Arabidopsis thaliana: one gene and its partner. The protein of the gene in region 2 interacts with the protein of the main gene of each other region in a pairwise test. Each region holds a gene or a part of one and is shown on either strand. Other genes may lie near its edges.

The links.
Region 1: the proteins of AT2G39020 (region 2) and AT2G47850 interact in a two-hybrid assay, tested with the Arabidopsis thaliana proteins (one large-scale study listed by BioGRID).

The regions. Positions count from the first base shown.
Region 1 is NC_003071.7:19,593,848-19,599,217, forward strand, and holds AT2G47850 (Zinc finger C-x8-C-x5-C-x3-H type family protein), read left to right. Parts: upstream 1-1,681; 5' UTR 1,682-2,105; coding exon 2,106-2,193; intron 2,194-2,285; coding exon 2,286-2,425; exon of another isoform or gene 2,426-2,754; coding exon 2,755-2,817; intron 2,818-2,904; coding exon 2,905-3,024; intron 3,025-3,099; coding exon 3,100-3,387; intron 3,388-3,472; coding exon 3,473-3,781; intron 3,782-3,873; coding exon 3,874-4,272; 3' UTR 4,273-4,817; downstream 4,818-5,370. Other genes in the region: AT2G47830 (Cation efflux family protein), read right to left, coding at 1-126; Tic20-II (putative conserved protein ycf60), read right to left, coding at 484-1,110; AT2G47844 (uncharacterized protein), read left to right, coding at 1,446-1,592.
Region 2 is NC_003071.7:16,293,413-16,297,015, forward strand, and holds AT2G39020 (Acyl-CoA N-acyltransferases (NAT) superfamily protein), read left to right. Parts: upstream 1-1,727; 5' UTR 1,728-1,979; coding exon 1,980-2,690; 3' UTR 2,691-3,083; downstream 3,084-3,603. Other genes in the region: PIP2E (plasma membrane intrinsic protein 2E), read left to right, coding at 1-127, 206-334. UniProt on the Arabidopsis thaliana protein: Probable protein acetyltransferase with dual specificity triggering both N-alpha-acetylation (NTA) and epsilon-lysine acetylation (KA).

The DNA of each region.
Region 1 (5,370 bases), 3.3 Mb from region 2:
AGAAGAAGATACTCGGAGTGGTGATGATGATGATGATGATGATGGCAGATAACGGCAAGACATATAATATATAGTAGACCTACAAATCCTCGTCGGATTCAGGATTTGAAATCTGATAATACCCATTTTGATTTCAGCTGAGAAACCCTCTCTCCCTCTTTTCTCCGATCAGTTTCCCAAATTGACTTCTCATTCATTGCGCGGTAAGATAGACGGCGCTCATTTTTTTACCGTTTACTTAGTTACCTTTTCACCGACGATTGTAAAATTATACTCAGTCAATGATAGCTTCATTAAAGGCCCCCCATACTGTTCTTTCATATTGGGCCAAATCAAATGTTGGGAGTATAACAAAAAATATTTTTTTTAAAACGGTAATGGTTAATTAACAACACTGATTGATTTGGTCTCTCTTATAAACCAGAAATAACCGATTCTAGAATCGAAAACCCGAACACTGAGTGAGGTAGATATTGGCCGGAATTAGAGTTGTCTACCGGCGGCATCAGCGACAAATGGAATGTATGGAGTTTTGCCGAGTAAGGAGCTGACGACTCCATACACAAAACACATAAAGCTGAAGACGAAAACCCCCGTGTGCCCCCACATCATCGCCTTCATTCCAAACCCGCCTCCTTGACCCGGATCCAGTATTCGGGTCAGCAGCACCGGAACCGCCAGGAGCACATCCAGCGTCACCGCCTGCATCGCGTTGAACCTCACGTACCTACTGAAACTCGTGTTCCTCACCACTCCCAGGTACAGCCCGAAGAATGCCACGAAGCTCGCGTACGGCACCGATCTGTACAGGTTCAGGATTGGGAAGATTGGCTCGAACAGCAATCCCAGCCTTGGGTACTGCGCGAACAGGAACCGCCCGTACTGCAGAGAATTGAAGAACGGCAGCGCGTACGACGCTATCGAAATCACGCGCTCAGTCGCCGGCGTCGGGGTGTAGGAGGCGCGGGTCGTCAAGGCGGTTGCGCGTCTGCTAGAGGGGCGGATCGAGAAGGTTGAGGATCCGGGGAAGGAGAGGCTGAGTGGTCTGCATCTGGGAGCCGACAGGGGATTAGTTAGGGTTTGGTGGAGAGAAAGGCACAGAGACGCCATTCTTTTATTTTTTTGTTTGGGATTTTCGCTGTTTAGTCGGCAGTGTCGATTTGTTGACAAGAAGAGCAAAAAAAAGTAACAGCTCAAACGCTGCCGTTTTCGAATCTAAAATTTGGCCCGCGCACACTAACAACATAATTGGGCCGACTTAGCTATATAAATGGGCCTATATATGGTACTAGAGGGCTTCGTGAACAACAGAAGGTTTTTGTGGCGCCGACAAATGGGAAGCGGAAACGAAGAAATGTGATGGCATTGATTGAAGGCGAGTCGAGTCGAGTCAGACTCGGTCAGAGCGAGTTGAGAGAGCAGTTAAGAAACAGTAGCAGGTAGAAATGACGGATGTGTCCCCACTTTCGGACCAGACCACTTTACTCCCCGAGTTAGCAAGTGAAGTGAGAAAACTGTCTGTGTGTCACATGTTGGCCACTCGCGCGCTATCCCCGCCCAAGGACCTTACCGTCATTTTGGTTGGAAACTAGTAAAAATTAGTTTATTTATTTTTTGTTTGTTGTTTTGTCAAGTAGTATATTTCTTGGAAATATCTTCCCTTTTCTGGGATGCTTTTACTTGGCGACCCAAGGACCAAGAGAGAACCAAAAATAAATCTCACAAAACAAATTAATACAAACTACTACTATATACTATTATTATTTAAAAAAGAATATGAGAAAAAGAAATTGAAAGCTAAAAAAAGAAACAGTAGTGCAGAGGGCAGACCGTACGGTATTCCTGAAGAGCGAAAGAAGAGAGAGAGAGAGAGAGAGACCGACCAAAGAAGAAGCTCCTCTCAATCACTGTCGAAGCATCTCTTCTTCTTCTTCTTCTTTTTTTCTTCTCTCTCAGAGCTTTTCTAATCGGCTTCTCCGGTAAATCTCTGTCGATCCACCGATGAGCTTTTGACATTTACTCTCTTATTAGTTTCTTCTAGTTTGGTGAGAGGAGTTTTTACTAGTATCTTTTTTACTGTACACCAAATCCCTAAATTTAAGGACATGTATGCTCGCAATCCTCCCCTCAATGGCTCACAATCTGCTCAAGCTCCCGACTGGACCCCTGCAGATGCCGATACCGGACTCCAAGGTCTCGCATGCGCTTTGATTCTCAGCAACTGTACGGTCTCTTTAGGGTTTCCGCTAAATGGCCCTGACTGTGCTCAATTTTGTGATTTGCAGAATCGATGTGGCGATTAGGGTTGGGTAGCGACTCGTACCCTGAGAGACCAGGTGCTCCTGACTGTGCCTACTACATGCGAACTGGTGTCTGTGGCTACGGTAATAGATGTCGTTACAATCACCCTCGCGATCGTGCCTCGGTAATTTCTTCCTCTCATTCATTCTTCTTTCTTATTATTGTTCTGAAACCATCCATACTAGGAGGACACAATCAAATGCTTCTCTCTGTTTTTTCCGCAATGTGGGTGATCACTGGCCTTATAGAGTCTCTCTAAACTGGGGAAATTGTTAAGCTTTACTGGTTTCAGTTGTTGTGCTTTACGTCACGTTTTTTTTTGTCTTATGCATTGACTCTACCCGGTGTTTCCCTGTATTTACTGATACCTTTGTATGCTCTTGTAAAAGCTTATCATTTTGTCATCTTAGCTTGGCCACAGTTTACTATTTTCTCATGTTGATTCATGTATAGGTTGAAGCAACTGTTAGAGCTACCGGGCAGTATCCTGAACGTTTTGGTGAACCCCCATGCCAGGTAACCCACCCCGACCAGTCATTTTATATGTTCCAAGTGATGAAACAAGGTTTTTTGTGATATTATTGATCTCTGCTTTCCTGGCAGTTTTACTTGAAAACTGGAACTTGTAAATTTGGGGCGTCATGCAAATTCCACCATCCAAAGAATGCAGGTGGATCCATGAGCCACGTTCCACTAAATATATATGGATACCCTGTACGAGAGGTAAGCTTTGTTTCCACTCATGTCAAATAAAAGGCTAGTCTCGAGTTTGCATGATCTTTTATAAACTCTTTGTAGGGTGATAACGAATGCTCCTACTATTTGAAAACGGGGCAATGCAAATTTGGTATAACCTGTAAATTTCATCATCCTCAGCCTGCTGGTACTACTGTCCCACCACCACCAGCATCTGCACCTCAGTTTTATCCATCGGTGCAGTCACTTATGCCTGACCAGTATGGAGGTCCATCTTCTAGCTTGAGAGTTGCAAGAACTCTTCTTCCTGGTTCTTATATGCAAGGCGCCTATGGTCCAATGCTATTAACCCCCGGGGTCGTTCCTATTCCAGGCTGGAGTCCTTACTCGGTGACCTTTTTTTTTATTGATGTATCATCAATACATTTGTTATTCACCACAGTCTCTTACTGTCTCACTTTTGCTTTTGCTTCAGGCACCTGTGAGCCCTGCTCTATCTCCTGGTGCGCAGCACGCTGTTGGGGCAACTTCTTTATATGGAGTTACACAGCTCACTTCCACCACTCCTTCGCTTCCCGGGGTTTATCCATCTCTGTCCTCTCCTACAGGTGTTATACAGAAAGAACAGGCCTTTCCAGAGAGACCTGGTGAACCAGAGTGCCAATACTATTTGAAAACAGGAGATTGTAAGTTTGGAACATCTTGTAAGTTTCATCATCCTCGAGATCGGGTTCCACCAAGAGCGAATTGCGTCCTCAGCCCCATTGGTCTTCCTCTACGCCCGGTATGCTCTGTGTTAATATGTCATAAAGGTTGTTGATCATAGTTATAACATTTCTGTCTCTAAATCCGTTGTTTATCTTGGGTTGAAAACAGGGTGTGCAACGGTGCACTTTCTACGTACAAAACGGCTTCTGTAAGTTTGGATCAACATGTAAGTTTGATCATCCAATGGGAACGATCAGATACAATCCTTCTGCGTCCTCTCTAGCTGATGCACCGGTGGCTCCTTACCCAGTGAGCTCTCTCTTGGGTGCTCTGGCAGCTGCCCCTTCTTCTTCATCGACAGAGCTCATAGCAGGCGGTGCAAAAGATGCTTACATGACCGGTGTGCCTACATCAAGAAGCACATCAAACATCTCGGCAGGTTTGATTTTCTCCCAGAGCGGTGGGTCAATTCCATTCTCAGAGCTGCAACTCTCGAGCCAGAGCTCTCTTCCTCTAACAGGTAGCAGAATCACAAGACAAGGGCGTGAAATTCGTCGATCCTTTTGAATAGATCACCTCAGAAAAGGGTACGCATACGCAGGTCCTCTGGATCACCTTTTAGCAATTCTTAATCTATATGACTATTATTATATAGAAGCATGTGATGTGAATTTATATATATAATCTTCGTACCTTGAGAAGAAGAAAAAGCCTATTTGAGTAGAAGACCTGAGTGAGAATCACATATATCTGAGAGGAAATCTATATGTGCATATACCAAAAAAGATAACAAGAAAAGGCTTCTTCTTTTTTTTTTTGGAATTTGTGTATAATGTTTGTATAGAGACAGACAAGGTTTCTTTGTCTTGTCCGTACTTCTACTTCAGACCCATTCCGGCTGAGACACAAAAACAAAAAAAAAAAAACTGAGACAAAGAACTCAATTCTCCTCTTCTTTTAGTCTGCCAATTGGTGTACTTCTCGTGTGTTAAGGTTTGTTCTTATTGTAGATGAATGATGTGTGTTGTTAATTTTGTTATGTTACTGCTTCACACATTACATGTGTTATGGTGATGAAACAACCTACATTTCAAGACTAGTTTTGAAGGTTGGCACCATTATCTTGAATATATTTATTTCCTTAAAAAAAATGGTTTTGAAATGAAGTTGAGCGGAAGCACACTAATCCTAGAATCGATCAATAGCATCGGGAAAGTGGTACAAAAAAAGAGACGAGAGAAATGATGGCCTAGAAACAAGTTTTAAAACAATATGGAGAAGGAAGTAATCTTTAGAGAAAACCCTACCTGAGAAAAGAAACTATCATGCTCAATTTAATATGCTTCGCCATCATTTGCTCTTATTTGCCTTCCCCACTTGTCTCTCTCTCTCTACACTCTTACTTTTCTTTTTGTCAAAAGCCCAAGGAAGAAGATGAAATCAACTAAACTTGGACATCCGGCTTTGGATTTGGATTTTGTAGAGTGGGAAATTGTAGTTTGTTGTGAAATCTAACAACAAAATATTTACCAAAATATAGATTTGCTTAAGTGAGATATGTAGTATTTTAATGAATTGCGTATTAATAGGTTAGGAGTAGTAAACTTTTTGTTTTTCTTGTTAACTCGTTTGAGCTACTTCCGGAATTGAAAAGAAAAAGAAGAG
Region 2 (3,603 bases):
GCCAATTGGATTTTCCGTGTTCATGGTTCATTTAGCCACAATTCCAATTACTGGCACCGGAATAAACCCGGCTAGGAGTTTTGGAGCTGCCGTCATCTACAACAATCAAAAGGCTTGGGATGATCAGGTTTGTATTTTCACCATCTGATATTCGTTCTTGGGTTTTAAATTAACATATTAATGAGTTTTGTTTTAATAACTACAGTGGATCTTCTGGGTCGGTCCATTTGTGGGTGCAGCCATTGCAGCATTTTACCATCAGTTTGTGTTGAGAGCTGGTGCAATGAAGGCCTATGGGTCAGTCAGGAGCCAGCTTCATGAGCTCCATGCTTAAATTTGTTATTTCGAACTAGCGAAGAGGTGAAGAATTCTTTGGGCCAGGAAGGGAGGAAGGAAAAAAAAAAGGGACCCAAATCATATAAAAGAAAAAACGAATATTATTTAAGATGGTCGGTGAGTGACATTTACTGTGTCTTATTTGTGGCTTTGTGGGGGAGGTTTGTGTGTAACAATTTGTAACGTACAAGCAATGTATGTGTTATTTGATGCATATGATATTTATATATCTACTTATTGATGATTCTATCTTTGATCAATCATCATTATAACTTAAATTTCATAGAAAAAAACACAAACTCCAAAACCATAAACTACTATTGTTCCTAAATTCTCAGGAATGTCAATGTCGATCACAATCTTAAAATTTCATGCTAAAGATCCTTTGGGTCTTTTCCATCAACGGTGCATCCTATCAATCACTGAAAAATAAAGGGCACAAACATTTGTAATCGTCTCAAACAAACAAATAAAAAATGTTGAAATGATAACGCCATGGATAAAATGTTGAAATAAAAATAAATGATTCACGACACATGTTTAGCTATGTATAGGAGAAAAACCAAATCCTCTCACTTTTCTCTTTTATCTGGTTCCCCTCAGATTTCTTTACTATCTTGTTCCTCTTACTTTCCTCTATTTCTTTGGTATTGCCATCTAGTGAGATCTTAACATCTCACAACTTATATGGCACCTTCCTCTATTTTCTATATTTTTTCAACCGCATAATGAACATGACACCAACAATCAGAAGTAGAAACCCAACCAATATCCACAGGTGTGAAACATAGAATTACCAGATTTAGCATCAGTCTGACACATCTTGTATGGATACTAAGAGAGAGGGTAGAGTCTAGCATGATTCTTGAGAATAGGTAGATAATCGGCAATAAATGCAACATTGTTTACACTAGTAAATTGACATATTTAGCAATAAAAATGTATATATAAATGTTAATAAAACCAATAAAAGAAATCTATTTCACATTTAATATCATGCGATTGTTGTAAGATGTGGTAGCTTAGCCGATCTTCCAAATATGCAAGATCTAGCTCATATTTTTGAGCATGTGTAGTTTAGGTTCAAAATAATATCTTAGAGAAAATAAAGTTGGTAATTAGAATATTATTAGAAATCAACTCACACACATCGTGTGGGTTTATTGGTATCATATATTATTCTACCTATTTTATTTTATTGAACAATGTGTCTTTAAAAATGAATAAGTACATAATTTTTTAGACTTATATTTTGAAATTTTGTCTATATTAATACTTACTATATATGAATTGAACTTGTTAAATATTGTATTGACTTTTGTAGTGGTAAGAAGAAACAATAAAAATCCATAAAAACAATAACTTGGTTTAGCTTTTGGTTACGTATGTAAGGGGGTTACTAAAAGTAAAAACACTGGGTTTGGGCTGGGTTCAGTAACTCTCATACAAAATCCATAAAAACTTTGGGCTGGGCTCATTCAAAATCCATACTTATTTTATTACTTTCCTAATTAAAAAAAATACACATAGCACAAGAAAAACCACCGCCCAAGCTTCTCTAGAACCTCTCCATCGTTCTCACTATCACTCCCCCCCCCCCCAAATATAAACCCTAATTTTCACAATCACAGTACCAAAAAAAAATGGCAGCCGCCGCACCGCCACCGCCACCAACAGCAGCACCGGAACCAAACATGGTAGCACCACTAATTTCACCAATCGGCCACCCAATGTTCTCCCGGATCCGTCTGGCAACACCGTCCGATGTCCCATTCATCCACAAACTAATTCACCAAATGGCAGTCTTCGAACGTCTCACGCATCTCTTCTCCGCCACCGAATCAGGTCTCGCTTCAACACTCTTCACCTCTCGTCCTTTCCAATCATTCACAGTCTTCCTCTTAGAAGTCTCTCGTTCTCCATTTCCAGCAACCATCACTTCATCACCATCTCCCGATTTCACACCGTTTTTCAAAACACATAACCTTGATCTCCCGATTGATGATCCGGAGAGTTACAATTTCTCGCCGGATATGTTGAACGACGTCGTTGTAGCTGGGTTTGTTCTGTTTTTCCCGAATTACTCTAGCTTTTTGTCCAAGCCTGGTTTTTACATTGAGGATATATTTGTGAGAGAGCCTTATAGGAGGAAAGGGTTTGGTAGCATGTTGTTGACTGCTGTGGCCAAACAAGCGGTGAAGATGGGTTATGGAAGAGTGGAATGGGTTGTTCTTGATTGGAATGTTAATGCTATCAAGTTTTATGAGCAGATGGGTGCTCAGATTCTGCAGGAGTGGAGAGTTTGTAGACTTACTGGTGATGCTCTTGAAGCTTTTGATCAGGTCAACATCTAGAGATTGATGCTGTGTTGCTGAGAGTTATCGAATCAGATCACTTCCTCTTGCTTTTAAAGTTTGTGTTTTTTTTCCTTCTTCTTGTTGTTACTTTATGCAAGTGTTGGCATTGATGATGATGATGATGATGAATTCTCTATGCTTACTTGTTGGATACTGAATGAGAAAAAAGAACCCTTTTGTTGAATGTATGAAATGTTTCGAGTTTTTAAAGTAAGAGTTATGTATTTGTGTGATTCCTCGTCATATTTGCTTGACCAAAGTATTTGTTCTGTGTTATGGATTTGAAGAATTGGTTTTGTGATCCTAGAGGACAGTGAATTGGAGAGTACAGATAAATTGGTCAAATGAAGAAATTGTGATCAAATGTAGAATGGTTAAGTTGCTTGCGAGGCACACACAAGTCTAATTGCAAACTATATAGGTTAAGCCTTCTTGCTTCAGTTACTATAGAAGACAATAAAAACTAAGTTTTAGTAGTCTCTGACTCTCTGTCTTGTTGTATAGAGAATTAAGAAACCGTGAGCATGAAACAAAAATTCATCTATTTTTATTACTACAACAAAACATTCCGCTTTTGTGTTAACATAGAGAACAAAAGACCCCATTTTACGAAAATGATTCTACTCTTATAAATGGGCTTAAGTGGGTTGTAAAATTTGTAGAAGAATGCACAAACACTTCAACATCTCTAGTTGTCCTACTGGCTTTAAAGAACATCTCTTTGATTGAGATTAATTCACTTGCAATTTATCGGTAAAACTTTAAAACTGAACCAAAAGTAAAAAAGAGTGAGACTAGTTTTTTGTTTGTTAAACATGAAACTGGACATAAAACTGGACAGATACATTCTACTAATATCATGCATTCCGTTAAGTATTTTGAACAAAAAATCTCATCTTTGGAAGAGTAT